4 linked regions of the Caenorhabditis elegans genome follow. The protein of the gene in region 3 purifies or fractionates together with the protein of the main gene of each other region. This does not show direct contact. Each region holds a gene or a part of one and is shown on either strand. Other genes may lie near its edges. The genes, in order: C01B10.11, let-630, glb-12 and C01G10.10.

Region 1 (8,277 bases), on a different chromosome or scaffold from region 3:
TTATCATCAACAACGAGTGGAAAGAAAAGCGGGTCCTAGATTTTGAGTGTTCTGCGTATATACCACACAGTTTTATTATTGCTAGCGAAGTACTATATTCTAGTATAAGATCATTTTACAGCAAACCTACGACGTGCTCACCTGAATTCTTTGCGTAAAACCACCAGCAGCAAGAGAATCCATTCGTGGGAATCCCTACTCACAGGAAAGGTAGAGAAGCTTGGGCAAGGGAATCATGGCACAATTTTCAAAGTGAGATGGAATGGCAGAAGAGCCGCTATGAAAGTGCTCCATGTGCCGGGCGAAATCTCCGCCGATACTGCCAAAGATGAAATCACAGTCATGAAGAAGGTCGGGTCGGCTGTTTTTCGCAAGAAAAACCCCTCGTTTCTTGAATTTTTGGGAGCCTATTTGGTCGAGGGTCACTCCAAAACTGACCCCAAGCTCCAGTTCAAAAACAAGAACGGCCACCCGCTCCCAGTAAGTCCAATTATAATTTTATTTCAATCACCAGACTCGAAATAAATTAATCAAATATAGGCAGGTCAAAAGTTAGGCACGGCGTTTTTTATTCGTTTTCCGTTTTTTAATGTCAACATCGGGATTCCAACCAATATCAGGCCGCCGACATATTACGGACTCCGAGCGTCACTGTGTTTAATTGCCTGTGGTCGTCGCAAATTGTCCCGCCCGCTGCAAGGAAAATATAGTGCGGAACTCGTAACATGTCGGCGGCCTGATATTGGTTGGGTCCCGATTTTTGCCGCCGTGACTTCCGAAAAAAAAGGCGGGCATGTTTGGACGTACACGCCACGCAGTTTTATTATTTTGAGTGTAGTACAAAATATATTTCAGGAAAAGGCCCAATTCGTGGCGATTTTTATGGAATTGGTTGAAGGAGGAAGATCAATCGGCGATTTCCCATTTAAAACTGATAATGAAAGGAAATCATTCGTTTGTCAATTGGTTGTCGGGCTGATGACTGCACAAAAAGAACTCGGATTTTCACATGGTGATTTGTCCGTGGACAACACCATCGTCACGAAAACGAAGTTGAGGACTGTCGCGTACATCCTGGAAGGAAAAGCAGTCAAACTGAAAACGTCTGGAGTTCTTTTAAAAATTATCGATTATGGCAAAAGTGAATGTAGCTCCGATAATAAAGGTTTGCCTATTTTCAAAGACGGAGAGAAAACTGAACAACTTTTTGTATTAAATTACTGAAAAAAGCTCAACCCGCTAGAGCTCGCTTCTAATAGTAAGCTTCGTATTTTTACCATATATTTTTTTATATTACAAAATTAGAGACAAAATTAAAAAATCAAAAACTAGAAGTTTTTGTTTTCACAAAACCCAACTAGTCACTTTCCTAATTTTCATTCCCTCAACAGTTTAATTTGAAATTACAGCGTCCACCAGCTTTGAAGATTCGGACTACACAAAGCTACGGAACCATGCCATGGATGTTTTTAAAGTTCCCGGATTGAAGGCGCTGGCAGATGCTGTGAACAATTACGATGAGGAACATGCATCATGGTATCCAAACTCGGAGCTTTTCAATGGATTGATTGAATGATATTTTAAATCAATGCTTTATTATTTGCTTTTTTTGAATTTTTTCGAATAAAATATGAGTTTCAGCATTTCCGGCATTTTCCCACTCCACTTCAATTTCGTACACAGAGTTATGTATACTCGTTCTCTCAAGGTTTGGCAAAAAGGTGGGAAAAATTAGACACGAAATGCCGAGTTGTCTACGTCTCTCGTAAGTATATATACTGACAAAAATGAGTCATTTTGGATTAGTTTCTAACTTTAATTTCGTTTCCATTTCTAAATTTGTCATCATATTTTTAGTATAAGTCCTTAATATTTGTAAAATTAAATCACAAAATTTTACACTGCTTTTAATTTATGTTCCCATCATGGTCGGGCGTTTTGTTTTTTCACCAGTTCTTCTTTTGGAATTGGAAGAGAAACCGCTCTACTTTTTACAAAAAAAGGTGCAAAAGTGTCTGTGACTGGAAAAAGTGAAGAAAGACTTCAAGGATCTCATTAAAAATTTATGCAGTTTCAATTGTCCATATAATCTGGTGACGATATTCAATTGCAACCTGTTGGTTGATCTCCTACCAAATAATGGATAAGAGATCAGGCAATAGGTTCAAAAGTGAATAATATTGATTTTTGAGTGACAAAATTAACTTTTCTGTTAATTTTTAAAATATGTTTTTCAATTAGAAAATTTGACTTTTTCACAATGTTGGTAAATTCTGGCAGACATTTCTGAATTGACTCGGTGTGTGATCTCTTACCGTTTTATGGATAAGAGATCAACCATTGAGATCCAAAATTTAGATTTTCAAACCAAAAGTTTCAGGAAGACATTTATTGAAAAAAAAAGGTTTTCAAACATTTTAGTATCGAAACATTTTAGAACGAGGACAGTTAAACTTTGGTAATTCGTGGGATATGTGAGTGGAGGGGGAAGGAGAAAAGGGCGGGTAATTGACAAATACAGATAGAACTTTTAAGAAATTAATGACATTTAGTAGAAAATTGTATAATTAGACAATGTGGACACCCATGTTCAACGCGTAGATCTGAAAATAATAAATATTTTAAAAAATCAAAATTGAAAAATTTCGTTTTTTATTTTTCAAGCTTCAAAAAAATGCAATGATTTTAAAATCAGTTTGAAACTTGCAAAAAACTTGTTCCATATCAAGAATTGAGTAGAATATAAATCAGAAACTGAAATTTTTTCCAAACACTTTTTATTCACTGACAATAAGTATTCATTTTAAAACTAAATTAAAGTACATTTTAAAAAACAAATTTTTCAAGACAAGCCTAAGAAAAAAACTCACTTTAGCCCATTTGATAAGAGATGGCACAGCTCGTGTATGTCTTCTATGTACTGCCCGTTTCTTTGTTGGCTCACATTCCCAAATTCCCTGAACAGTGAATAGAGTCACTTGCTTGGTTTTCGTCTTCTCCACATAGCATTTCAAAAGTGCGTGGGCGATTTCGATAGTTTCAGCATAGATCAAATTGATTCGATCAGCTCCATTTCCAATGATAATTCCATCGACAGAACCGGAAGATTTCGCAAGAAGAATAGTTGAAGATGAAGAGAGGAGAAGAGTTAGATAAGCATCACGTGGAAATCCACAGACTGTCGAGTCAAAGTCGGCGACCGAATCGAAGTCGGTTTTCGTGTATGAGATCATTTTTTCTAGAAAAGGAATAGTTTGAAATCTTGTAATTAAATCAGAAAAATGCCTACCTACGTACCTACAAGGCAGGCACAACTCAACGCCTCAAGGGGTTTGATGGTTTGAAAAATGAACCGCAATGTTTCTATTTATTTTTAACGTATTAAAATTTCATAAAAAAACTTACAATTAGAAAATACTGATTTGATTTTAAACTACCGTTTTTTTCACAATTTTTAACGAATTTACATATTTGGATTTTTAAAAATTCAATTAAAGAAGTCATAGTGAAAAAGAAAAACCAAAAAAGTATAAAAGTAGGTGTGGCCAAATCACTTCGTTCTAACTTTTTTTGTTGAAAAATTGAAGCTCAAATGAAGCTCAAATATTACAGTTTTTTTTTTTTAATTACTTGCTTAAACAAACTAATTAGTTTTTTTTCAATTAAAATTTCCAAGAATAAAGTTTCAGAATATTTTATAGGCTTACGAGTGGAAGGAATAAGAGTTGGAAGCAACTTGGAAACATCATAAGTTCCCTGAATGTACACATTTCTGTCAGTGACAATGAATCCAGCGTCGTCTCTCCATGAATCAGTCAGCTAGAAAAAATTAATAATTTACAACCATTTTAAATAGAAAAAAGTTACCTCAAAAGAGTCAATTGTCACATTTTTCTTAAGATCCAAGTTGTAGGTTCCAAGAGAATGTGTTGAAAGGATATCAGTCAAATGACATTCAGCATGTCTTCCATCTGGAACTGTGTGGAATTGTTGAGCAATTGGAAGAAGGCGACGGTTCTCTTTTACTGTCTGAATATGAAATAAATATTAGAAACATCTTTTAAAAATACATTTCAATCACATGACTTATTGTGCTTATTGCTGAAGAATATATCTCTTTTTATTTAGCAACATGTTGAAACAGCATATTTTTTTAGACTTTTTTTTTATTTAAGAAAAACTAATTTTAAAATTGGAAATATATCACCTCAATTGTGATAAGCTTGAGTTGAAGAGCATCATCTGGTTTCTTCTCAACAATAATATCTTTTCCCAGAATCGTAGAGTCCAACTCCTGAACAACTGCGTAGGCAAGTGATGGTGTGTATTTGATGATTGTCTCACGAGCAAGAGTTTTTCCTGTAAAATTTAAATTTAGTAAGAATAGTGTCAAGATTCTGCTATATAATTGAGATGTTTGTAGCCAATGAGTTTGAACTGTTCAGATTCTAAACCGTTGCTAGTTCTTATTTCAAAAAAAGTTTTTTTTAATTCAAGAATTCGATTAGAAATGTGTTCAATAATCAAAAACTTGGGAAATTATATTTTTAAACACATGTCATCTTATTCAGGAAGTTTTTTTGGTTTTTACTTACTCAAACATTAGTAGATAAATATTTAAACACATTTTTTAATGAAAAATTATCTGAAAAGTTTATGATCACAGTGTTTTCAGTTCAAAGTGTTCTTCTGAAGGTGGCCTTGTTAGAAGGTTAAAACAAGGGCATACCTGATCCGTTCTTGACAAATGCAACACTGGCTTCTGGAAGCTTGGTTGTGTCCAATTTGTTGAGCTGGGCAATTTCAACGGACATTACGAAAGTTAAATAGACTGAAATATTAAGTATTACTAAATTAACTGTATTGAAGAAACAATATTATCACGAAAAAGTGAGTTTAACAAATAGACGATATGAAACATTAAATTTTTTTTACAAGATTCGCACATTGAAGTTTGAAATTCAGGTTTACGTGTACAAAGTACATAATTCGTTGCAATTTCAAATGTGTACACTATCTCCGAATCTACATGGAAAAAGGTGATAAAATGAAAGAAGAAAGTGACAATCTGAAGACAGTGAAGGCAAAGAGATAACCGGATAACATAATAGACATAGGAGGGATATGGGCGGGATCTCGAGAATGTTCTCAAGGTTCCCGATAGAATTGATGAATTGATGAAATTGAAAAGTGAAGAGACTGAATTGGACAAAAGTACGGCAAATTTGGGCGGCATTTTTTGGAATTTGGATGGAAGTAGATAGGCGATAGGTTGGGAGTTCTGGTTGAACTCTTAGAAGTTCATTTCTTGCATTTTTATCATTTATCTTTTATCCAAATCGATGATTCAAATATAATTTTATCTGAGGATTGAAAATCTATTGTGAGAAAATAAATAGACTCATAAAACTGCAGTTTATTAATCGTTTTCACTACTTGCATTAAAAATTGAAGCATTGAAACAGTAAATATTGAAAAAGTTTCCTCAGTTTGAACCACAGTTTTGGATATTTTAATAATTTTAAAACTGTTTTTCATGAATTTTCCGGCCCATTTTAGATCAATATTAGCCTTTTAAAGTGATATCAATCCAAAAATTTTGAAAACAAAATGGTGTGCGATGCCTGAATGTCTGAGTTCCCCGAAGATCCCGTCTTTCTCAAAAGAATTCTTGGAAATAAATGCTTCAATTTTTTAGTTTATAAACGACAGCCAAAAGTCTGGCAATGAAAAGTTGCAAAAAGAAACATATAAAATTCTAGAGATTGCAAAGAAGGTTGCAAAGCATGGGACGGTAAAAATAATTGAGGGAGGTTTTAGGATGGAGGATTAGCCGACCCCCCATAGGGTTTTCATCAAGGTCATTGCGGTAACTTGGGGAAATAATTGAGGGAGTTGAAGATAAAGAATAATGAAAATGTATATAAATTTGTGGGAAGCGGTACTAAATTAAAAAATCTTATTACTCAAATATGTCAAATTTTGTTGAAACAGTGAAAAATATTTTTACTGGATTTTCAATTTTGTTCAAATTTTGGTTAGGTTTTGTAAAAACAAAAGCGTCTTTTACTTTAAAACATTTATTTTCACAAGATTATGACGATTTCCCGGCAATTGTCACATACTTGTTAAATTGAAAACCTTTAGTAAATCTACCAAAATGCAATATAATTGGGTAATTATGTTTGTGAATCAACAATAATTACTTTTTACGGGGAAAAAATACTACAATAAGTTTTCGATTTTATGTCCGAAATAATTACCCTTTTAAGAAAAGTTTACATTTTTGAGTTTGAAATCCAGAATACTGTTTCATCAATTATCCTATGACTATTGAATATGGAGGAATTACTGAAAAGTGTAGCTAATATTTAAGAACTAAAATGCGTGGTAAAAGAAAAACAGGGGGAAATTCAGTTAACCGTTTGAAAAAATGCTCCAAGGTTTGAATTGGCGCGTAAATTCTTGTCCTTCTAGAACCTTAGTTTTTTGCATTCAAACAAGTGGTTTCAGCAGATCTTTTCAATCAATTTATCGAGTTTTCGTTTGAGAAGTTTAAAAACCATCCCACACTCTCAACTTTTTATTTAAATAAAATCTAAAAAACCATGAAAATTCAAAGTTTTCAACAACATATTTTTCTTCAACTTCAATCTGTAAATCCGAACAGTCAAGCCATAAAATCAAAGTTTCATCCTCAAATCACACATATCCTGGCCCTTCCCAATTACTCATTTCTTCCGAACAGAACAGGAAAGATACATAGAACTGAAGAGGAAAGATTTGCCACAATTCTGTCAAATAATGTTTCCATTTTCTCTCATCATCTCTCTGACATAATCAAGTTTATCACTGACAGCGTCATCATGCGCGCGCGCGGGCGGATGGCCAATGCATTATCACTGTTCGTCAGACTCGTGTGTATCCTTGTATCTGTTCTGTACTTGGACATCCATTTGTCTGCATCATTATAAGAATGGCATGAATATTAAGAAAATATTAATGAAAACTGGATTTTTCGAAGATTTCCAGGAGAGAGAGTGACAATAATAATAAAAATTTAAATTAGAAAATACGCATATGTGTACATGGTACAGTAGTTTCAGAATAAAAGTTTACACAACTTTTTCAGCAACAACAAGTGATTGGCTGAAAAAAGTTTTAAAGGCATATTTTCCAAGCGGAAAATTTAAAAAAATTTTATAAATGCTGAAGCTGCAGTAGTGAAAAAATTGAGATGATATTTTTCAGTAAAAAACATTAAAACAGCAATGAAATAGTTTTTAATATAAATAAAAATAATAATCTAATCGTGTTAAATCTAAGGTTTTGTTCAAAGCAAAAAAAAACAATATCCTTTTTTTTGAAAATTGTAGAGGCATTAATCGATTAAGAACGAATTATTTGCAATCTTAATTGCCAACTTCTTGAAACAGCATTTTATTTTTGCTGATGGTAATTTTTTTGAAATTTTGAAAACACCAACAAACCATTAAAATAAAAAAGTTGGAAGAAATGTTTCTAACGTAAAAAAAACAATCGTAATTTTGCTATCTTGTTTAGTAAACTGGTTAGTACCTGAATGATAAAATACGAAACATTCTTCAAATTGGCTGTTGTGAAAAAACAGAAAAAGGGGAGTAAGATAATGAAGAAAATGGCAAATGGGCGGGATCGGTCACTGTTTTAGTAATTAAAATGGACAATGTTTTGATCTATCTCATTAGTTGAAAAATCGAATAATTTTTTGGATTCCAAATTTCCTATACTCTTAGAAATTCCAAAAGTTAAACCATTGAACTTACGATGAGGACGAATGAACTTTTTTTTAAAACATCGATGCAATCATAGATCGGTAAATTGTGTTAAGTGGAGTGAAAAAAGTCAAGTGTTAATTAGAAAAAAAATCAAACGGAAATAGAGTTTGAAATAAGTTGAACGAATTTTAAAGTCTAATTAATTTACAACGGGGCTGCGATTTTTAGAAAAGAACCTAGTGAACAGACGCGCAAATTTCATAATGAAGTCCAATCATATCAATATTGGATTTTTGTACAAATTAATTAATATGCTTTCAAATTAAATCTTCATGTTGAACTCGGGGTGCGCGCCAATCGCCGACAAGCAGATCTGCAGAATGAGCAAGTGTGGCTTGATCTCTCAGTTTTTTTTTTGGAATTTAGTGATAAATATTTAAAAAAGGAAAAAGGTCTTATTTAAGTTGTGACAATCGATCCTGGGCTCAAAAATTGTCTGAGATTTGTTTTTTTTTTTTGA
Region 2 (7,821 bases), on a different chromosome or scaffold from region 3:
ATGTTCAGTGACGTCATTATCTGTATCATTCAGCATCGAGATCAAGGTGTGAAGCCATTTTGAACTGAGACTTTCTCTGAAAATAAAATTTGTTTTAAATTTCGTCAAAGATTACAATTACTTGAAAAGGATTGCATCTCGTAACATAAGTTCTGTAAACGCATCGGCTCCAGTTTTTCTGACTGAAACCATTCTGTCTCGACATAACATTTGAAGAATTGAAAGCACAACTTCAAATTTCGATGCTTCGTCGCAATATGATAGATATGATTTGAGAAGCGAGCACGCAGCCTTCTTGACCGGAGCCTTGTCGTCAGTTGATAGTCGGCGCACGATCATATAAACTATATCCTTTTCAACGCGTGTCTCTCCCTTGTTCATCAGTTTCAACTTATTGAACTTTTGAATGATTTGCTGCTCGTCGAGAAGTAGATCCGTTGGCTTTTTTGTTTTACTACTTGGTGCTTTACCAGAAACATTTAAATCTTCAAGACTTTCACTCAGGTTGTCGCCCACTGCGCCGAACTTTTCATCCATTTCCGCATTTATTGTTGCGCAGAACAATTGGAAAGCTTCTCGATGCGATTGAGACTGAAGGATTTTCGTCAAACTATTGGCTCCGTGAAGTCGCATAGCTGCAGCTTTATCCAAACAAGCCATGTAAACGATGTTATACAGAACAGACATTGCATCCATTCGACCAACTTCTTTAACTTCCTTCGCCTTCTTTTCTTTCTTCTTCTCTTCTTTCTTTTTAGAAACATTCTCCTCGTTATCGCCATCATTCTCTTCGTCTGATTTATCCGACTGTTCTTCCTCTTTGACTGCAACATCATCCTGCTCGTTTTCTTCCTCCTCTTCTTCATCTTCCCCTTCCTCCTCCTCATCCTCTTCTTCATTCTGCTCTGCGTCCAAGTTTGGAATAGCTCCTGGGTCAGGTGCGGTGAAGTCAAAACTGCTGATGAGAATACTCGAGAGCTCTGTAGACAAGGATTTTACTCCGGCTCCGCGGCCTTTGAACAAGACATTCATGAACTGGACAAAATCATAGGTATATGTGTATGGAAGAGCTTCGAGAATCTTGTGGATAAACGTGGCGATATTTGTTCGAAACTCGGCTAGATCTGGACATTGTGAATACACCATCACAGTAACCTAAAATTTAAAAATAAGTTAATAAAATATTTCGAAGAAACTGCTCACTGTCTGAATATACTTCAACTCTCTTGCTTCGGGATTTCTTGAAATTCGTGATAGAATTAAATTGACATGTAATTCACCAGATCTCTTTCTCTCCGTTGAAATCTTTGAAGATTTATTGCTTTCATCTGGATATGGCATCAGCGCAAGGCGAGGGCGAATAAGTCTTCCGTAAGCCTAAATTTGTACTAACCTTATTAATTTGTTTTGTAATTTTTTTAATTTTAATCCCACCACTTCTGCTCTTGTTTTATACTTGCTTTCTACTAAAGAATGCACAAATGCACAGTATCGATCCGTAAATCGCTCCAACGATCGGAACTCGTGGACTGAATTCGCTCGAATCGCTCTTCCTGCGGTTCGATTGTCAAGATCTAAACGGCCGATGTCTTCCACGACTTCTAGTGTGCTCATGAGTGTTGGTGTATCAATACTGAAGGTGTTGCTATGCAGAAAAGCAAATAACTGGGTTGTGAGATGATGCAGGTATCGCTCAGCCGAATCGACAGCAATTCGAGGGGGACCAATTATAGGATCTGCTGCTCCCGTTGTTACAGTCATTTCTCCATCCACATTTGTTTCGTCTGACTTTCCACCCGCTTTCTTTTTCTTTGCTCCACTTGATTTTTTTGTAACGACAGTCTCTCCTATCCTAACTGTATGACAACAGTTTCGAATAATTTTCAGACATTGCTGAAAAAATAACATTGATTATATGACATGTAATAAACCCGTATACTTACATTGTATAAACCAATTTGATAAAGATCTGAGATTGCTCCAGGCAATGAGCACATAGCAATATAACTACTGGCAGCAGAAACTCCTTTATCAACATCCTCTTCCGAACTGTCAGATCTCTGTCCGTTTTCGAGAAAATACCAGACGAATAGATTAAACTTCATTGTCGCCACATCACTTTCTTCAAAAATATTCCGAATATCGCATTTCTTTCCCGAGATTACAACGCTTTCGGCAAGTTTCTTTACTGAAAATAACAATTTTGAATAGTGAAGCTAACAAAATTCTCAACATACGCTCTTTCAGAACTCCACTCAGATCTTGCTCGAAAAAAGTCAGGTCAACAGAATTTGTGAATTCTTCATAATCTTCATAATTGCATTCTGCTGAAGAAGTTGCAACGGCATCGTCAATATCGTTGAGAGACCGGAGATTTGACTCAAGAAACTCCGATAAATCTTTTTCGTTGATATTCGACATTGAATCTAAAATAAAAAATGAATCATTTCAATAAGGGTAATTTAAAACGTTAAAAATAAATATTTAGGAAAAAAAATTAGGATCTCTGTTTGAATTTACCGCGTTGAGATTTTTAGGCCACGGCCATTGTGTTTCTAGGCCATGGTGCAAACACGGCGCGCAATACTGCGGACAAAACATTTTAACACCCGATTTTTTTTTTTGGTTCTTACTTAGGCTTTTTACGTTTTGAGTGTTTTTCATCTTTCTTTGCTTAACTTAATATTTTTTAGGCAATGATCGGCCGCATGGGACTTGGCAGAGTTATAACTCGCAGTTTATCGTCGGTTGAGCCTGCATTATCTCAAAAATTGACAATACAGCCAGCAATCGAGGTTGACTATTTTTAAAAATTCATACTTGAACTTCTATATTTCCAGAGATCTCCAACAGATTTGTTAAATGCCTTGTCAGAAACCGTTGGCCCGGACACAACTGCTCCACATTTTGCCTACATTGACGATCCAATTACCATTCCTTCCACGCAGTCAACGAAAAAGACCTATTTTATGGCGAAGGTAAAATTTTTGCCGGAATATTAGAATAAGTTTGATAATTTTAGGAGTTTGGCAAAAGAGCTGCACGAGAACTAGCTACAGAATGGCCAACCCTCTTCGCTTTTGACAGAGATCAACCTCAGCTCCCGGTTTTCCGTCCTCGACATCTAGCAGATCCCCTTCAAGTTGAACCGACAGAGAATAACCTGCTTAAAATGATTTCAAGTCGAGAAGTAAAAGACTCGTGTATTTTGTATGAACGCATGCGATCAGAGAACGTTGACGTTAGCGAGAAAGTCCAGCTGGAACTATTCCGTCTTGTAACCTATTACAATTCGTCAAACGTACCTTTCGCAGAATGGGAGGAGTTTGTTGGAATGCGCAATTTTGGAGAAGATTCTACATCCTCATGGAAATCGGGTGCAGTCGCTGATCTTCTTTTCGAAACTCTCCCAAAAACTGATGAAACCGTTTCTATAATGATTGCTGGTCTATGCAAGTTTTCTGATCATTCTAGTTTGGAAAGAGCTAGAGAATTGTACAAGGAGCATCGAGCTGCAAAAGGAAAAGTTTACCGAGAAGCGTTCAATGGATTAATTGGCGCTTCAAGCTACAGTGTCGGGAAGAAATTGGTAGCTGAAATGATTTCCCTCAGAATGACACCCGATATTTTCACGTTCAATGCATTACTGTCGTCTGCTGCAAAAGCTGGAAAGTTTGAAGATCGTGTGAAGGCGTTCACTGAAATTATTGGAGAAATGAAAGAGATTGGAGTTGAACCAGCACTGTCATCTTTTCATTTAATTATCAAAAACATCATAGATTTTAAATTATTGGATAATGAAAAACGAGAGAGTGACGAGCAAAAGAAGACCTATAATCACCAGCTCACCGTGGCTATATCTTGGCTCAATGAAATTCAGAATAGCCTTACTGGAAAAACTCTCAAGCCGATTACATCCACTTGTAATCTTTTCTTCGTCGAAGCAATGGGAATCCATTACAGAGCTGCAAATGAGAACCTCGCAGAAAATCTTGTTTCAATTTATGAATCCAAAGCAAACGAAGTAAAGATGCCAGCATTCACAATTGAATCAATGTTCTATAATAGACAATTACAATTGGCTGTGGAACAAAGTGCTTCACTGAACAGAATTTATGATTTGTACACCACCATGGTACCACGACTTGTTGGAGTCAACAATTATCTGTCATCACTAGTTTTTCGAAAACTCGCTGCATCCTCCGATCGTCATTGGCCACTGTTACGGAGAGTAATCATCGACGGTATTGCAGCTGGACAGATGAATGGAGTTATTGGAGAAGAAATGCGCAAACAGTTGTGTAATGTACAACTACATGTAAGTTTTATTTCCAAATATCTTGTGTTTTTTACAAGTTTTTTTCAGACATTGGGAACTAGTGAACGGGAGCAATTCACATCTCTTGTCCAAAAATTGGTTGCAGTTTGGGTTGAGTTCAGCCAATTCACAGAAGAGAGAATGAGAAGGCTCCAAAGGAAACTGTCGCCTAGCCAGGTTTTAATATTATTTTTCAAACCATAAGTCGTATATTTCTCAAATTTTGCAGATCTCAGAATGTGCTTTGCTCTTGACCAGAATCGGAGAACAGCAGAAAGCTTACGAACTGTTAGATCTACTGCTTGATGAAACTGCAAGCAGTGGGGACGAAGCGACTGTTTATCCACGTGGACATGCTAGGCCATGGGCAATGGCAGAATTGTTCGAAGATGCTCTTAGAAAACGTGATACATATGCTGCAGCGACTTGCCTGCAAATTATGTCGTTGACCGCCAACCGTGCAAAACTTGAGCCTCTCGCCAATCGCATTTTCGAGAAATGTAATGTGAATCAAGAGCAAGTTCGAATTATTCAAGGATTCATTCGTCTTCGCCCACAATAATTTTATTTCGTTTAGCCTAGGATAGTTGTAAAGTTATTTTGTTTTTGTTTTGTTTTGCTTTCAAAATGTCTCCCATAATAAAACTTATTTAAAAATTTGTTCAACATGTTTTTTTTTCAAAGGTCGTTCAATTTGAAATTAAAGGCGCATCGAGTTTTCATCTGAGTGGGTCTCGCAACGCTGTCTAAGGTATACGGTAGCTATTCGCACTACTTCAAAAAATGTTACCTACTGTCCCAAAATATTCATTTCCGTGCACGATTTTTCAGTATTTCTTGTTGAAATCTTCATATTTTTCAAGTATCTAACAAAAACGTGTTTCAATAGTTCTTTTTTCAAGTTATAAGTTATAAGATTTAGAGAATGCATGTATCCCGAAAAGTTGCATAAACTTATTCAATTTTTTTCCAACACGTTATTCGTAAATTTTAAGATATTGTTCATAATGCAATCGTTCTCCGATTTCAGGTAGTATTCACTAACAACATTCACAATGCCTGCTACACCGGTTCCACCGGTAACAATGCCACCAGTGCCACCAGTTGGTTTTCCACCGGTCACCGCTCCGCCAGGACTTCATCCACCACCACCAGTCCCACCGGTTCCGGTTCCGACTCTTCCTGTCACCTCGGAACACAAAACTGCTCACGATGCGTGTATTAAGCGACTCGAACAGCTTGAGGTGAGATCGGTTCTCGTTATTGCTTAGAATAAATATGATATTTTAGATTCCGCCGGATCCGAAGATCTATCCTTCTCCAACCGAACCTGGAACTTTCGGTAGCGTGACTGAAGTCCTGACAAATGTGTTTGGAGTCGAAGTACATAAAACTTCCAACTTTTATCAATACAGTGTGCACATCACTGCTGAACTTTCATCGAAGAAAGAAGTAACTTTCACTAAAAAAGGAAAAGAAGAGTAAGATATTGATGATCGAATTCAAATTTCCTATGCATTCAATTTCAGCTTCATTGTTCATGACCGCCATGAGAAGTGCAGTGCTATTCTGTTCCACGCATTGAACCGCTTTGAGGACTTTTTCAAGTCGTCTGAGAACTGCATCATCTACGATGGACAGAGCATTCTCTTCACCAGCATGAATCTTTTTGAAGGAATTCCAACTGGAAAAATTAAGGTATCGAGATTTTATTTGTACTTTCGATGCATTCCTAATTTCAGACAAAAGTGTTTCAAATTAACGGTGCGGACACCAACTTGAAAGACCTAATGGTGCTGCCGTGTATCAAACTGGAAGTTTTTCCTACCAAGAACCCAGTCGTGAATTTCTCCCTGGAAGATATTGGAAGACGTACATCGGATTCTAACATCGAGTCTGTCAATATGGCTTATAAGCAGATTCTCGATCTCGCTATGAGTCAGTACGCAATTCGCGAAACCTCCAAATGTGTAGTGTTCGAGCACGGAAAGATGTTTTTCATTAATCCATTGCAAGAAGGGTACGCTCCATGCGACATTGTGGAAGTTGGAGATGGGAAACAAATGAAACCGGGTCTCAAGAAAACCCTCCAATTCATTGAGGGTCCATACGGACGTAACCAGAATAACCCATCGATTGTCATTGACGGTTAGTTTTTAGCTCAAAATAGACAAGTATATTTCAATCTTCAGGAATGAAGGTGGCATTCCATATGGAGCAACTCGTTTTCCAAAAATTGTCATCGATCACATCCAATCTGGCTAACGGAATCACTGGATCCGAAAGAGAACGATGTGCAGCTGTCATCAAAGGACTTGACTGTCATTCAAACTATAGAGGACGCACACGTCATCACAAAATTGAAAGCATTCATCACGAAGGAGCCGCAACTGCCAGATTCGAGCTCGAAGGTGGTGGTACTTGTACCGTTGCCACCTACTTCAAGGATAAATATAAGATTCAACTTCGCTATCCGAACGCCAATCTCATCGTTTGTAAGGAAAGAGGAGCTCTCAACTTCTATCCCATGGAGTTGATTACTATCAGTCCAAATCAACGTGTTAGAATCACTCAGCAAACAAGTTCTCAAAGTCAACGAACCACAAAAGAAAGTGCAGTGTTGCCAGACATTCGCCAACGTTTGATCATGACGGGAAAGATTGCAGCGAAGATCACAGCTGAAAACGAGGTGCTCGGTAAAATGGGAGTGACTGTTTGCGATGAGCCTCTTGTGGTGAAAGGGCGAAACCTCCCGGCCATTAGGTTGGCTTCATTTGAAACGGGTGAACATCTCATCAATCCAAGAGATTGCAAATGGCGCCCACAACGCTACAACCGTTCAGCTGTGGCTCCGAAAGTATGGGCGTTGTACGGCGTGGGGTCGCCGGGATCACAAATGAATCGCGACGTTATGAGGTTAGTCTTACTCTACTTAAAATTGATTGGTTTTTTCTGATTTTTCAGACGTTTTTGTGACGAGTTCATGAATATGAGTCGTTCGAAAGGAATTCTGTTTCCGCCACCTGGAGACGTCAATCTTCTCACCCCTGATGCTATCGAAAATCGTTTGCGTGAGGCTGCGAATGCTGGATGCACTTTTGTTCTGTGCATCACTGAAGACAATATCACTTGCTTGCATCGTATGTCATAATTGGCTCTTCTCAATAAGTTTTGTTTGTTACAGAAAAATACAAGTTCATCGAGCATCATACTCAGATGATTGTTCAGGATATGAAGTTGTCCAAGGCTTTGAGCGTCGTCAACGCATCAAAGAAACTAACATTGGAGAACGTTATTAACAAGACCAACGTGAAACTAGGAGGGTCCAACTACGTTTACCTCGATACGAAGAAGTATATTATTACGCGTTCAATTGTTTATCCATGTACAAAATTTCAGCTTCCTTCAAGAGCATCTGATCATCGGCGTTGGTATCTCCAGCCCACCACCTGGGACCAAGTACATCATGGAAAGCAGAGGAATTCTCAATCCGACTATTGTGG
Region 3 (7,339 bases):
GAATCAGAGCCTAACGAGGTAGCTGAAACCGAGGAAGATAGAAAAAGAGAGTTAAAAACCGAAGAGCTCAAGAGCCTTCTTGGAGCTCTCCCTCCAATTGCAAAACCCAGGAATATACCGGTTGGACCAATTGCGTTGACTGAGCAACCAGAAGCTACCAGGCAACAAGGTTCAACAGGAAGAATTTTATTCACAGATCCGTTGCATTTTTCAGTTCCACGTGAGTTGATGATTTCAAATAATTTTTATAGCTTTTCATGTTTTGACACAAATGTTATAACGTGTTCAAAGTCGAATTCTAGTTATTTTATTACTGCATATTAAATAGAAGCCGCAAACCCTCGAATAGAAATTTCTTTTCCACATCCCTATTTTTGAATTTCAGCATCTGAATCCTCGTCAACTTCATCACCACGTCGCGCCGAAAAAGCACCTGTTCCACTGCCGGATTATGAAGGGCATAGTTTGATCAAAGTGCGAAAACCGTTGTCACCAACCGACAAAGATGTACTGGAACCGAATATGAAAGTTTCAATACAATTGGAAACATTTGAACTTGTTCCCGGATCAAGTCTGACTCCATTGACAAGAGAAGAGACGACGTTTTTCGTTGATTGGGTATTTTTGGATTTTACGAATGAGCAGTCGAAGAGTACGATATTTGATTTTCCGAGAAGACCACAAGAAATGGTGGATATTCGATATACAAAAGGTATTAGTTTTTTGAGATTTTTTATGGGAAGTATAAAATACTTATCTGCTTGATATCTATGGCCCCAGTTCAATTCAAAGGTATTGAAACAATTCTTTAAGCAGAAATATAGAACATTCAATTTTAAATATTTTAGCACTTACATTTTTGTGACAATTTTTTGAGATATGAACGTCTAAAGTTGGAGGACCTAGTTTTTGAACATGGTGCATCAAGAGCTCAACTTCAAGAGCTCATATCTCAGAGCTTGACTGAAACATTATTAATTTTTTTAATGTTCATTGAAATGTGGCGATTCAGAGGATGAAAAAATAAAATTCAAAAATTCTTCTAAAATGTTTGGTTTTTTTTTTGAAGTACGTTTAGAAAATAACTTAAATGCCACTCTCTAAAGTTAACCCCGATAATCTCAATTATTCAGAATACACCCTGACGCGTGGTCAACTTTCTCTTCTCGATCAATGGATCCGTGCTAGCATCAAATTTGAGTTAACCATCATCAAGATCAGTCCAGGCGACGAAGAGGAGCTCGGCTTCGGAAGTTTGATTTTAGTGCCAAACAACACACAGAACAAATCGTTTGTAATTGATGGTTAGTCATTTGTCGTAAGTATCTCATTCTTATAATTGAATTCAAATTCAGTTTACGATCGGAGTGGAATTGTGCAAGCCGAGATGACATTGACATTGCATTTCTCAAGAGCATTAATTGAACAATTGACCTGAGAAAATTGAAAAATACGGTTTAAATAATTTGTTAGATTATATTTTCAACAAATTAATAAATATTTTGGTTAAAAAAAAACTTGTTCAGTATCGTGAATTGTGGTTGCTGGAGAGCAAACTAAGCAATATTCTATACTCTTTTTTAACATCGTTTGAAAAATTGGTGAAAAATGAAATTTGCATTTTCAAACTTGACGTCCTACTTACAGCACAAAAAACGCTTAGGTAACTATCATATCTTGGCAAAATAATTACGATTTTAAAATGTTGCCGACGGAAAAATGTATTTTGAATTTTTAGTGATTTGTTAGTTGACTTTTTTTGAATCCTCTTACCGAAATGGAATAGATCCTCAAGAGGATAAAACCTCATATACATAAACTCGAAAAATAATCGGCCTATAACGTAATTGGCTCTGACTTTCAATTCACATAAAAATGTATCTAAACCTAATTCAGCAATGCTATTTTGTCTCCAAAATTGCATGTCTTTGTGTGACGCAATAGCAAAAAAAGCTTAGCTCATTTTTGTGCATTAAATGTGCTACAAAATCAAAAAAAAATCATTTATTCAATAAATTTAATCAGTTTTATTTATCAGTGTTTTTTCAGTGTCAATATGTTTTATATGGTATATCACTATAAAAATATACTTTCAGAATGGATCTTCGAACATTTGCTCTTGAGCTTTTGGTTCATTTGAAACTGCCGTATTTTCAATCTCGCTTTGTTTTTCCTGAAAATGCCAATATCAAATTAACAAATGTATGATATCAACTAATAACATACCGCCACCCTCTTCTTCTTCCTTTCCGAAATCTCGATATGTTGATGTGGAGCCAAGGCTTTTGTTGTTTGTGCACTCTTCTGTTTTGCTCTTTCCAATTCAAATGAGTCAGTCATTTGACTAATTACTGTGTTTAAGAACTTCTTCCAGACGTCTGTGATTTGAGATGTGGTGTAGTTTTGAGCAAATCGCACTTTTTTGTTCTCTTTTCCTTCTGATGATGGAAGCTCCTAAAATCATATTTGTTGGGTGAAAAGGTTTTTTGTTTTACGAGGGGAGATTATGAACTTTTTTAGAAAAAAAAACCAATTTAATTTAAACAATCTTATTTCGAATAGGTATCTACAAGAATTTATAGGAAGAGGATCACAAAGAACTAAAAAATCCGATCTGAAGTAACATTTAAAAATACTTATTTGAAAATATTATTCTAATTTTTTGAAAAAACCCGCAACTATTTTGCCCAACTGGATCAAAAATTGCACCTTTTTTAAAAAGAAAAACAAACATTTTTTTGAAAACAGCTCAAGTAATTTCCTCGCTCACAAACATCCTAATCTACGTTCGGGAAAATTTTCAAAATGCTTCTCGACCGCAAAATTTCTTTTTCGAATTATATAGATTTTTTCAGAAATCAAGCTCAATTAATTCCTTTATTAGAAAATAATTTGATTGAGTTGTACTCCAAATAAACCTTCCAACAAATCAATTAGTTGAACTTTCAAACTAGCTTGACCTAACTGATCCCACAATCTCACCTGTTCACCCGTCAGAAATGGAATTAATCGCTCGATAAATACATTTATAACAATTTCGAAATAGTTCTTCTCCATCTGGTTCTGATTTTGTTCCAAGAAACTGAAAAATCATCAAATGGCATTGGACTATATAATCATACAAAGTGACGGCATTTGCACCTGCGCACTTACCCTTGTCTGACATGACTTCTTCCCGTTTTTCGTACCAATTGCCATGCACCCGTCAGATTTTCAGACGTGCCAAGCATTGACGTGAGCTGGAATAATAAATTTGAGTTCAAAAAATACTCTTAAAAATGTAGTTTAGACAGCTAACCTGCTCCATGAACTCATAGAATCTTAGAATATGCCCTCCGAATTTCGGCATTTTCAGCATCGCGGCTCGCGGAGCCCGATCCACGCCAAACACTTTCTTGAGGTCCGGTTCAATATCATTGACAATATCTAAGAATATAAGACCAACAATATCCTTCGGATCATCTAGCCTTTGCCAAGTTTCACGTAACAGAGTACGGTCTTTTTTATTGAGGGCTAAGTCAAATGGATTTTCAGATTCGTTTCCGACCCAAGATGCTCCGACTTGCTGGAAAATAATTTTTTAAAATGTTCTGTGCGTCTTTAAAGAGTACTGTAGTTCTCTATTCTTATGTACTGTTTTTTTGAAAAGAATGTAAAAAATCCAAAAATTTTTGAGAAATGTTCATCTTCCGAATCAAGCTCAAAACTCACGGTTTTTTTCTTTTTCGGTGCACATAATGTGGCACCCATTGAAAATATATAGATTTATAACGATACTTGTTTTATTAAAAATCTTAAGCACAACTTCTCATCACCTCAATCAGGAAATGTTCTGAAAATTTGAAATTGAAAGACTCTGAAAAAGGAGAAGGAGTGAGTAAACATGAAGAAGACAAATTGAATAAGCCTCAATTATGACGTGGCAATGGAATGATGATTGGATTTTTTGTGTGTTGAAGTAGTCATAAAACGGAAGACGGCTGATTTTTTATGGGATGACGGGGAACAGAGCAACATAAATTCGCGTTCACAAGGCTGAAAACTAATTTGAATTTTGGCTTAAATTGTGGAAATGGCCAGTTAGATCTTGGAAATCAAATAAATCCTAACTGAAAATTTAGCCATATTCATTGTGGAAAAAATTAGATTTTTTAGGGTTAATAATTTTGTTTTGAAAAGATCTCAAACTTTTCCTATGACCCAAAGCATAATAAAAAACTGTAGATTTTGAGAAATCTTTTAAATCTAATTTGCCTTGTTTAAAATGCTTCCAAGCAGTATAATTTTTGTGGGGACCTATTAAAATGAGCTTTTTTGAAAATCCTAATTTTCGATGAAACATTTAAAAAAATCGAAACTTTTCCTTGTCAGCTTAACACTTAAATTTGTCAAAATCTGAGACTAGACTTGAGTTTTCTCGGGGATCTTTTCCGAAAGAAAAGACGCATATCAAAAATCAGTGTTCTTCTTCCCAAAAACTTATAGAAAGTATGAATATAACCAAATGATTGCTTTAAAAAAGTGAGAAGAAGGCAGAAGAGGGAAAAATACGAAGAAGTGGGATAAACAAAGTGACAAAAAACTGCGAAATTATAGTAGAGAGTTCTGACAAGAAATAATAAGGGAAGAGAAGGAAGTAGGTGAACTATTGGTTTTTCGAATGTTAATGTTATAAATGTATTTATACGTAGGCTGTTTTATTACTTGTTAGAAGCTTGAACTCAAGATCCGGCGGGAAAAGTGTAACAGGTGCACGTAAAAGTTCAGTGGATCAAAGATTTCTGGAACGGGACAAAATTTGTGGAGTTTGAATTCAAGTTATTTTGGAACATAGTTTGCTGGTGGGGCAGATTTATAAACGGCAGTAGCAATTCATGGTCTACCGGCTTCCTAGTTTCTGGTTATTTTCTCAAATTTTTGATTTTTGCCCATTTAATTTTTTTAAACATTTTCACTTCAAATTTTGTTAAACCACGGTATTTTAAGTCCACAATTGAATTTTTAAAGAATTTATCAGAAATGTTGGTTAATCTCCAAAATCGTTCTCCGCTCTCAAAAACCAAAGTGGACGTTTGCCTCCAAAAAAATGGAGAAAAAATGAAATTGCGATTTTTGGGTTGAAATTTATATTTTTTAAAAGCTGAGAACATGTTATACACGAATACTATGTCCATTTTGACACCCAGAATATCTGAAAATATCTAAAAATTGAAGCATGAATATTTTCAGAAATTTCCAGTTAATTTGTAAAAATCGGAAATATTAAAACTGCAGATTTCATGAACAAAAATAGTCTGAAATTTGTATAGAAAACAATTCAATCTTTCAAATTCAAGCACCCGCATTGCAGAAAATAATCAATTCTCATGCTCAACTAGATAGTTTTGCTATAGTTTTTGATCAGAAATTTGATTGTTTTCACTTTGCTTGCCGCTCTCCAAATTCCAAAAGTTCTGACTTCCAAGAAAAATTGAAAAAGAAAAAAAAAGAGAAATATTTAATTTTCCAGGAATTTTTTTTGTTGATTTTTTGAAAACGAGAATTGAAACAAGTATGGAAGAAAAATAGGCATAATCTTACTTGAAACTCAAAAATTTTCCTCTAGGTTACACCTAATTAAAACCTGTTCCTTCTGATATAACAGAAACCTTAACAAAACGTGAAAAAGTGGTGAAAAAAACATGGAAATGAGTGTGTTGTGTTAGGTAGCAGGCAGCTACTGCTCGCGAGCAAGAGCTCTCGACCCGAATAATAATTATAAATCACATTTTCTCCTTACTCGCCATTTTCGGTAGAAAATATATAAGGAATGGTGAAATGTAATAAGGGAGAAGTGAGTGTGTAGGTAGGAAGGAAAAGTGATCTTGGTTCTTTCTGGAGTTGGGGGGGGGGGGGGTGGGTTTTCAGGTAATGAAAGTTTATGTACCTGCTTGGAAAACCAGGCTTTTATACTACTGGGTTTCAGTAAGGTTACTGTAGAAACGATTAGAAACGCGGCAAACGATTTTTTCCGGCAAATCGGCAAATTGGCAAGAATTAAAATTTCCGGCAAGTCGACAAACCGGCAATTTGTCGATTTGCCTAATTTGTCAACAAACAAATTTACCAAACGGCAATTGCCGCCGGCCCTTGTCCAATAGCCGTTGAACTTCAAAATGTTTCTAAGTATTAAAAACAAAACTCTTTAGGATCACTATAATAAACACTACCTATAAACACTACCTAGCCAAGCATTACAACTTGAATATTAGTTTCAGAATACACTGAATTTTGAATCAGAAGTCCTTACTAGACGGTTCCTCAGAGATTTCCGATTAAGCTGTGATTCACATTAGTATTACAATTCAAGTATGCAAAGTTTTGATACTCTTGTTATTACTCAGAAAAATAAGAGAGGAAGCATTCATTTCCATCGGAATTTACCCGGAAACCGTAGGTGTCTGGAGTCTGGAAATTGAGTTGACAGAAAGTATTGTCACTAAAGTTTTAGTACCTTCCCGTGAGTGTAATTAATAAAACGAAATTGCATTATATTTTTCAATTGAGAGTACTTGGAACGGATGTGATCTGGGGGAGAATGAGCAGAAAACATGCCCCGCAATTTTGAATTGCAATAAAATATGCAGTTTCCGATCAATAAAACATCAATGATTTTTTAATTTCAAAAACGCGGAACAAAAATATGGAATTAACCTTTTGAATTTGAATTCCAAAAAAAAATCCGAAACTTTGTGTGAAGATCACATGGGGATTATTTCTAATCTTGATCTCAGGGATCCCCATTTGAAAATTTATAACGAAAGAAAAAAGTCGCTGCTAACCCGAATGAGGATTACAAGCACTTGCATTTGAATAGGTACAATTAAAGTATAAGAAGAAAAAGTGAGCTCTGAGCTCTCATTCTGAGTGTGCTCCGTTTCGGTCGGCTGAACTCATGAACATGGAAATTTGCTGATATTTTTTTTGGTTGAGCAACAGTGAGCAAGCGACAAAGGTGAGTCAACGCTCAAGTAGCTAATTGAGTTTTTAATCAGTGTCACGGGTTAGAGCAACAGAGAGAGAGAGTGAAAACGTTGGAGAACAGGTGGAATTCATTTTCCGATATTTTTCAGCTTTTATGTGGTAAGTTGAGTTAGGATAAGGTGATCAGGTATTGAAGTGAGTAAAATAATCAAAGAACTTTTTTTGACATGGAAGAGGGAATGGTTGTTGGAAGTTTTTTTTATCCCAAAACTGTTTAATATTTTCAGAAGTTTTTTTTAACTTTTAGTCATCCGCATTTTTCCGAAAATGTTTTGAATTTTAAGCCTAAAATTATAAGTTTTCAATTATCAAAAAT
Region 4 (8,107 bases), on a different chromosome or scaffold from region 3:
TATAGTAATCCATAAATTCTGATTATCCTTCATCTCCTACTCCCACTCTCATTCCCATCTAACTTTTGTCCTTTTCTTCAGCAGCAGCAAAAACTGCGGCGTTCCACTCGGGTATATAGTGCAATTATTTTGTCTGTTCTTTGCGTTTCGTCTATGTCTCTATCCTTTTGTTCAGAAATATTTAGAAAGATCGCGATATATTTAGTTGATTATTTGCTGCTGGAATTCTCAACACTAATAGATATTTGCACTTGCACACAGTGAATTTCTTTAGTTTCTTTTTTGTAGCAGTAAAAGCATGAAATAACACTTTTTTGTCAGTGCACATAGATTTCAGATTTTAGTTGCTAACTTACCTAGAGCATTGTTGTAATAGAAGTTTTTAAAAAAGAAATTTGTTATTCGAAATTTTTTAAAATATAAATCGACAAATAACCGTGTTATACGGTACCTGGTCTTGAAGCGACCGACTTTTTACGTTCAAGAGAGTGCGCCTTTAAGGAGTACTGTAGTTCTGAACTCCACATTTTTGCAAATTTTCATTGATTTGTCCTATTTTTATCTTCCGTTCCTTCAAAATCTGATGTATTTTTATATGTAAATTTTGAAGACACGGAAAAAAGGGAAAATCAATGTAAATCCCGCTGGGAACTACAGTACTTTTTCAGGGCGCAAACATTTTTAAGCCCGTGATGCTTTTCTCGAAAAAACAAGAAATGTATAACTTATTCCAAAAACTAATCCCAAGCAACACCATACTTAACACTCTCACTGACACCCACATTTTTTTCATTTTCAATCGCTCCCTGTTACCCAAAATATATTCAGCACTGCAATTCAACACTCTTTTCATTTCAGATCTTCAAGAGCTCTCCTATTCGAAATTGGTGACACTATGCGCGGAAATGGAGCAGCTGATTCGGGTTTATAATGAGAGTTTGGTCGATGAGCTGGCACATCGGTTGGTTTTCGGGAAATTTTGGAACTAAAACTGGAATTCGGTTTTTTTGTTTCAGAGATGAGCTGGACTACGAAAAAGAGATGAAAAACTCGTTTATTTCACTATTACTGGCGATTCAAAACAAGCGACGAGTTTACGCTAATGATCGGAAACGGAAGGTCGGAAAGGCGTCGGATGCTTCACAATTGCCACAATATTTGACAGCGACAATTCCGTACAACGATCATCAACATATCGATAATGCGTCGATTGCGTCTCTAATCAAAAGTGAGAAGATGAAAAGAGATATAAATAAATATCTAATTGACAAAGAATATCAGCTGTGTGTTGATTGATTAGTGAGAAAAAGAAGAGATATTTGCATAAGAGATACAGAATTTTAATATGTTTTTCTCGGGATTATGTCCCCTTGTTAGAAGTGGAATAGGGTCGGTGGGGATTTTTAAAGGATTTTCCATGAAAATCAAGACTTTTTTTTCGGTTTTTCGTTTCTCCGATTTTTCGAAAAACAAAAATAGCCCCCAATTTAGCTAATTTTTCATATTTTTAAAAGAAAATTATATGTTTTTCCTCATCACCATAAAAAAAAATTGATTTTAAAAATTGAATTTTATTCTTAATTTTCGAATTTTTTTTCTCGATTTTTTGTACCTGAAATTAATCGAAAAAATTTTTAATTTCGCGAATTTGCGTCAAAAATATTGTACAAAAAATACTGTCTCGAGACGAAAATTGTTGTTAAATGCGAAAAGGTGAGGATTACTGTAGTTTCAAACATTTTAATCGCGATTGTTTAAAGTTGTTCTCAAGATTTTGCTAAATTGTTTTATTTATATAGTTATGGAGTAAAAAAAAAAGATGAAAAATCGAAAAAACCTGAAGCTACAGTAATCTTTAAAGGCGCACGCCTGTTTGTATTTAACAAAAATTGTCGTGCCGAGACCTGGTACCGTATAATTGTGCTAATTTCGCGTCTGGGTAATATTGCAAAATGGAAATTGAGAAACCGGAAAATTTTAAAATAAATTCTCTCTCAATATCCCTTTGAAAAACCGGAAAAAAGTTATAAACAAATTTAAACAAAATCTGCTAACTTTTTGCCAAAATTTCTCAAAAATTGAACAAAAAGTCATTGAAAATTGAAAATAAATGGTTTTTTTCAGTTCTCCGCGCAATCCACGATGACAATACGACAGTACCCACCCTGCTGACAGACTACATTTTAACACATGTCTGTCCAAAAAATATATCGTGTTAGCCATTGCCACCCTTCGCCATTCCATACTAGTCATTTTCCCCCATCTACTTGTTCTTCTTCTTCTTTCTATTCTACAATTTAAAAGTTTTCCGTTCTGTTTTTGAAAATTGTGTGATACAGCTTTAAAAAAAAATAGTCCAAAAAAAATCGTATTCTCTCTCTCCACAGCTGCTTTCCAAAAAACCCCCTTCTCTTTCCTTTCCATGTTAATTCAAAAAGCTTCTTGACTCTCTGAAAACCCAATGAATGACACAAATTCTAGTTGTGCCCCCCTCCCAATTGCACCTGCCAACAAAAAGTCCATACTCAAATTCTCTACAATCCCGGAATCTCTCTCTCTCTCTACTGATGATCATTAATGTTTTTGCTTGTGCTTCTTTTCTTGTTCTTATTTCGTTTTTTTCTACAAACACAGTCATATAAAATTATGTGCATTTTTTATTAGAAAATTTTCTTCATTCAGTTGTTTTAGGGCTTTTAGGCTTCTTAAAATCATCCAGATTCCGGAATCGTATCCGCTCGGTGCCATGGATCGTGGATGTCACCAGTTTCCGACGCGGTGTATCAATGATTTCCGAAGAAGCATCCGTCCCAATATCGCTTCTAGCGTGTGCATAAATTGTGTCAGGAATGTCATTCGGTCGCCACCAAATTGCCTCCGATCTGCAAGAATTCGAATAGTTAATTATAGAGTTGGTGGGGGCTAAAGGACCGATTGACGAGCATCAGAAGGCCACTGTAGGCGATCATTTCGGCATTGTCTGTGCAAAGGGACAAGAGGACTTTGATGGTTGTGACATTGTGAGCAGCTGATAGTTTTGAGATTGCTGAAATATTAAAGTTTTAGCTTTTTCTGATACTTCTATTAAAAAAAAACCTCCAAAAATGTACTGATTCGCCGCCACTCCGCCGCCGATCACCAGCTGTTTTGGAAGTTTTTCCTGCTCGGAGAGACTTTCGAAGAAGATGTGAAGTTTGCTCGAGATATGTCGGGCTACGGTGTTCTGAAATAATTTTTTATAGAAAAAAAAACGTTCGTCGAAACTGTCGAAACTCCTAATAAATGCTCTAATAATGTCGATTTAGGAAAAGTAAGAGTTATTTTTGAAACAAATAATTTAACCGTTTTTTTTTTAACCAGAATTTGGATTTTTTTAATTAAAAAAAAAGGATTTTTTGATTTATTTTTAAGAAAAATCTTTTTTTTTTGGTTTTTTGAAAATATGAGATTTTTGGTTCGTTTTATTGCAAAAACGATTTTTTGGAAACATCGATTTTCCGTTTTTTTAGATAAATTATTTTTTTCGGATTTATTTTTTGAAACACTAATTTTTTGAGATTCTCTGATAGTTTTAGTGAAAAAATTACAGAGACAGAAATTATAGAAAATAACTCAAAAAACATTGAAAAGTATTCAAAAGGCTTGAACAATGATTTTAAAAAATCGAAAAAAAGTTTTTTTTTCAATTTTTTATAGGCTTTAATTTTTTGATTTTTTTGGTGGTTTCTGTATAATTTAAAGATTTTTTTCTGATAGAAAACTGCATTTTAGAATAAGTTTTTTTTTTTTTGGAAAAAGCGTCAAAAACAATTTCGAAGTCTCTTCTTGGTTCTTCACACACCTGAAGGCTAGCACAAAAATCTGGAATATCAATTGATGTTTCAGAGTTTTTTCTCAATCTTTCCAGCAAATTCAGATAGGATCCTTTGATTTGATCGAAGTTCATATTAGCTTTTGGAACGTTTGGAAGAAATATGGGATATCTCAAATGGCCATCAGCAGAGGCTCTAGAGGCTAGAATTTCCACCGCAGCGCCCACATGAATCCCATCGAATTCTGATCCAAGATCTCCAAGCTGCCGCGCAACTTTGTCAATGCACTCGCCCGGGCTTCCACTGACACTTTGGCCTGAAAATTTTGAAAAATTTATAGTATTTTATGTTTTGAGAGAAGTTTAAAAATAAAATTTCGTGCCATGTAGCGACAATGAGTAATAAGTTTTTTTTTCAAATATTTCAATCCTCATACCGTACAATTTGAATTTCTCGACATCTTCTGCAACAGAAATCAATGCATGACCACCCGAAAGAAGAACTGCTGAAAATGGAAATCGCACTGAATCATCGACGAGAAGAATTGACAGAGCATGGGCTCTCATATGATGAACTGGAATCAGTGGAAGACGATGTTTTCTGAACAGGAAAAATCAATATTCGAAAATTTTAAATATTCATAGTATCATACTTTGCAAATCCAATCGCCGCTGAAATTCCCTCTTTAAGTGCAATAACTAATCCAGGCGTTACTGTAACCGCTACTGCATCCAGATCTTTCGGTGATGTTCCAGCGTCGTTCAGACACTTTTCTATAAGCCTTGGAAGGTTCTCACGGTGCTGGAAATATTTCATTTCAAGTAAATTCTGAAGAAGAATCCTACTTGAAGTGCGCAGACTGAAGGATTAATCCCGCCTTGTTGTCTCTGAATCGCCCGTTCTGTGTACCGCTCTGAAGATAAAATCTCTCGTTTCTCGTTGACAATTGCTACTGCAGTATCGTCACAACTGAAAATTTAATGATTTTAATTTTTTGAACTCTATTGCTTATATATTCCTTACCTTGTTTCAATTCCTAGCACTTTAACGGAGTAATTTCGACAAAAAATTCGCTTTAAAACTAAATTGTTGTTCAGAATTTTCGGAATATTCATTTTAGATGGAGAAATTGAATAAAAAACCTTAATAAAAAATATTCTCTGCAATTGTCTAGGAGGAGTACACGGTTGTCGGATTCTAGGCCGCATGCGCAGAAGTTAGGCCATTCGGCGTTAAAACCGTAACCACGAAGAAGATTTAAATAAATCTCATCAATAAATTGACTTGAGAATATAGCAATGAAACATTGACAATATTTCCATAAATAAATACATCCTCTTCCACAACTTTTCGACTTGTGCTCACGTTTTGCTCACTTCCAGTCTACACTTTCGCTTATCTTATCATCTGGAAAACGCTGCACAGACAATTTGCGCTCTGCAATTCATTTAGCTCTAGGTATCTGCTGCTATTTTACGACAATGACCTCAAAAATCAATAAAATTGTAAACGGGCCTATTCCTGATTCATTTTTATTCGACGAGTCGAAAAGATTGGATTCTCTGAAGTTTGATGGAACCAATTTGGAAGTCCTTGGTAAGTTCAGAAATATCATCTTATAAAGCATAGTTCTAGTAAAATAAAATCCAGATCAACTCCTACTTCCACATGAATTCAAGTACATCCCGGTTGAAGGTGTCTCTGACGCTTTTGCAGTTATAAAATCAATGCAAGTACGCGGAGCTCCACTTATTGCAGTTGTCGGAAGTCTCGGACTGCTCCTGGAAATCCAAAAGGCTTCTGAGCTTGATTCTGAAAGTATTATTCAGAAAATTAATTTTTTGATAAGCTCAAGACCAACTGCAGTTGATTTGAGAAATTCTTTGAACGGCTTGAAACCAATTTTAGAGTCTCAAGACTATTCGGATGTGGTTAAGCTTGAGAAGTGAGTTTTAAATTTCAAAAATAATTCCAAATAATCGCAATTAATTCTCCAACAGATGCCGCAGTTATCTTCTCAACGTGTATACGGATGAAAAGCTTCAAAATAGAATTCTCGTCTGGAACGCTTATCAAGAGCTTCTCTCGGCATTCCCTGACAAGGAGAAGCTTACGGTAATGACGATCTGCAACACAGGAAGCTTGGCTACAATATCCTGGGGTACTGCTCTCGGAGTCATTCGGGCTCTTCATTCTGAAAACCGTCTGAAATTGGTTTACGTTTTGGAGACGAGACCCTATAATCAAGGAATTAGGTTGACTTCCATAGAGCTTCTTCATGGTGAGGTGCCGTTCAAGGTAATGCTAAATACTGATTATCTTTTAAAAATCCAGATTTTCTAGCTGATCACTGATTCAATGGCAGCATGGGCAATGAAGAATCACCAGGTGGATTGTGTGCTCACCGGAGCCGATAATGTTGCAAGAAACGGCGATACGGCTAACAAAATCGGAACCTATATGCTTGCTGTCCTCTGCAAACATCACAACATCAACTTCTATCCGGTTGTTCCATTCACGACGATCAATAAGAATATTGCAACCGGGGAGGAGATTAAAATTGAAGAACGACCATCTGCAGAGATGCTTCGAGTAAATGGAGTTTTAATCGGAAATTCTGAATGTCCGGTTTGGAATCCAGCATTTGATGTCACGCCGGCGCATCTCATCACGAAAATTTTGACGGATTTCGGAAACTGGCCGCCTGAAATGCTCGAGCAGCAGATTCCTAAATAATTTTGTTTGTTTTTGAACAGAATCTGTTGAATTTATGAAAATATTATCACTAAATTTAGAACACAAACACAGATTGATATAAAATAAATAAATTGAGAAAGCGGTTTAGAAGATCGGAGAACATCAAAAACAGGAGATTTGCAATTTTTCATTTTTTCACATTCGCTGGCTGAATCCGAAAGTACGACCAATGCTTGAAAGGTAGTAACGATCGAGTCCTTGTTGAGTTTCTTCAGCGAGATGAGTTGGAACATCTTTAGCGATGATTTTGATATCCGTTCCAGATCCCTAGAATTTATTATAATAGAAGGTTTATCCTCGTTTGTTCTAAAACTTACAGTATCTTTCAACTGGAAATGGATGGTTGCATGATGATTGTTTGGATACTTTTTCAGTCGCCATTTCTTCACAATCTCCTTGTTCGGCTCAATCTTCTCGAATGTTCCAGTCACGTTTTCCCCGAACAATGCAAATGATCCTCCTTCCTTGAAATTCCACTCTCCGATCGAATTGTTTGTCCATCCACGAACGAATTGAGTCTCTGTGAGCGCCTCGAAAACTCTATCCGGTGTGGCCTTGTAGGTATCGGAAGTTGAAACCTCTTTGGTGGAGAACACTTCATTTCCAGAAGTGGAAGCGTCCTTTTCCGCGACAACAGTGTTTTGGAACTGACGTTTGTCAACGACTGAAGTCTTTCCAGTAGTAACGACTTGTGGCTTCACTTTATCAGTTGGCAGAATGAGACCCTTGCTGAATTCTTCCTTCAATTCACGGATATAGATTCCCATAACATCTTGAATCTTTGCAATGAACGATTTGTTAAGAACTTGGCGGATTTGATGAGCCATTGGGCCATTTCCACTCAATGACGAATTCACATCCACTTCGGATGCATCGTTCTCATCACTCAAGTTTGGGATATCGAAAGTTCCTTTATATTCGTCTTCACTGCCAGAAACACGAGCAATGAATGTTCCTTCGATAACCCATTCAAAAAGGAAGATGAGCTTAGCCTTCCGGTTGTTTGCCGTTGCTTCTCCGTCGATCTTTTTGATCTCATCGATTGTCACGACAATTGGGCCATCCTGAAAACGAATACTCTTAATACGATCTTGTTCAACTATTAATTATACCTCGGACGAAAATCCGGTGAGAAGTTCACGGAGTCGGTTCAAAGACCACGGGGTTGCATTCTTCTCCGACCTAAAACATACTTATTCAGCTCAAAGCTATGACTTCAATCGAGACCCACCAATGCCAATTGTTTACGTTTGTTGCATCGGCTCGTTCTTCAACAATCCAGCGTGGATCTCCTTCTCCCCACTTGGCCATTTAAATTCCCTGAAATTAATTTAAGTCAGTTTATCGAGATTTTTAAGGTGAACATCAAGCCAGATTAAGTCGTTTTGTACTTAAAACAATGGAATTTCAATTTAAAACTTGAAAATAAATATTTAACGTTGAAATCAAAACAAGAAATCTTTGAAATTTCGTTGAAAACAGGAGAAACTCAATTAATTTCGAGAAAATTCATGAAAAATGGAAGAAACTAGGCCAGC

What was found.
Region 1: the proteins of glb-12 (region 3) and C01B10.11 fractionate together in Caenorhabditis elegans (co-fractionation; one large-scale study listed by BioGRID). This does not show direct contact.
Region 2: the proteins of glb-12 (region 3) and let-630 fractionate together in Caenorhabditis elegans (co-fractionation; one large-scale study listed by BioGRID). This does not show direct contact.
Region 4: the proteins of glb-12 (region 3) and C01G10.10 fractionate together in Caenorhabditis elegans (co-fractionation; one large-scale study listed by BioGRID). This does not show direct contact.

Annotation. Positions count from the first base shown.
Region 1 is NC_003282.8:6,654,535-6,662,811, reverse strand, and holds C01B10.11 (DUF7596 domain-containing protein), read right to left. Parts: upstream 4,832-8,277; 5' UTR 4,815-4,831; coding exon 4,730-4,814; intron 4,360-4,729; coding exon 4,208-4,359; intron 4,099-4,207; exon of another isoform or gene 4,074-4,098; intron 4,030-4,073; coding exon 3,868-4,029; intron 3,820-3,867; coding exon 3,708-3,819; intron 3,239-3,707; coding exon 2,871-3,238; intron 2,604-2,870; coding exon 2,568-2,603; 3' UTR 2,375-2,567; downstream 1-2,374. Other genes in the region: Y73B6A.1 (Protein kinase domain-containing protein), read left to right, coding at 122-480, 856-1,165, 1,410-1,576.
Region 2 is NC_003279.8:5,159,757-5,167,577, reverse strand, and holds let-630 (Small ribosomal subunit protein mS39), read left to right. Parts: upstream 1-2,693; 5' UTR 2,694-2,696; coding exon 2,697-2,795; intron 2,796-2,840; coding exon 2,841-2,978; intron 2,979-3,022; coding exon 3,023-4,318; intron 4,319-4,366; coding exon 4,367-4,495; intron 4,496-4,547; coding exon 4,548-4,880; 3' UTR 4,881-4,976; downstream 4,977-7,821. Other genes in the region: Condensin-2 complex subunit hcp-6, read right to left, coding at 1-76, 122-1,155, 1,204-1,377, 1,435-1,893, 1,944-2,188, 2,238-2,421; ppw-2 (Piwi domain-containing protein), read left to right, coding at 5,374-5,562, 5,609-5,799, 5,848-6,016, 6,061-6,466, 6,511-7,234, 7,283-7,458, 7,503-7,671, 7,718-7,821.
Region 3 is NC_003280.10:10,727,813-10,735,151, forward strand, and holds glb-12 (GLOBIN domain-containing protein), read right to left. Parts: upstream 3,841-7,339; 5' UTR 3,751-3,840; coding exon 3,712-3,750; intron 3,566-3,711; coding exon 3,299-3,565; intron 3,240-3,298; coding exon 3,154-3,239; intron 3,083-3,153; coding exon 2,983-3,082; intron 2,455-2,982; coding exon 2,227-2,454; intron 2,174-2,226; coding exon 2,093-2,173; 3' UTR 1,992-2,092; downstream 1-1,991. Other genes in the region: mks-5 (Protein fantom), read left to right, coding at 1-220, 386-712, 1,134-1,304, 1,356-1,438.
Region 4 is NC_003283.11:15,077,494-15,085,600, forward strand, and holds C01G10.10 (putative tRNA N6-adenosine threonylcarbamoyltransferase, mitochondrial), read right to left. Parts: upstream 4,949-8,107; 5' UTR 4,928-4,948; coding exon 4,836-4,927; intron 4,782-4,835; coding exon 4,658-4,781; intron 4,614-4,657; coding exon 4,465-4,613; intron 4,413-4,464; coding exon 4,249-4,412; intron 4,129-4,248; coding exon 3,842-4,128; intron 3,224-3,841; coding exon 3,097-3,223; intron 3,047-3,096; coding exon 2,932-3,046; intron 2,883-2,931; coding exon 2,675-2,882; 3' UTR 2,641-2,674; downstream 1-2,640. Other genes in the region: UNC-76, read left to right, coding at 82-111, 859-961, 1,017-1,228, 2,125-2,219; C01G10.9 (Methylthioribose-1-phosphate isomerase), read left to right, coding at 5,294-5,408, 5,463-5,757, 5,813-6,110, 6,156-6,548; ahsa-1 (Activator of Hsp90 ATPase AHSA1-like N-terminal domain-containing protein), read right to left, coding at 6,705-6,836, 6,887-7,633, 7,682-7,751, 7,801-7,880. UniProt on the Caenorhabditis elegans protein: Required for the formation of a threonylcarbamoyl group on adenosine at position 37 (t(6)A37) in mitochondrial tRNAs that read codons beginning with adenine.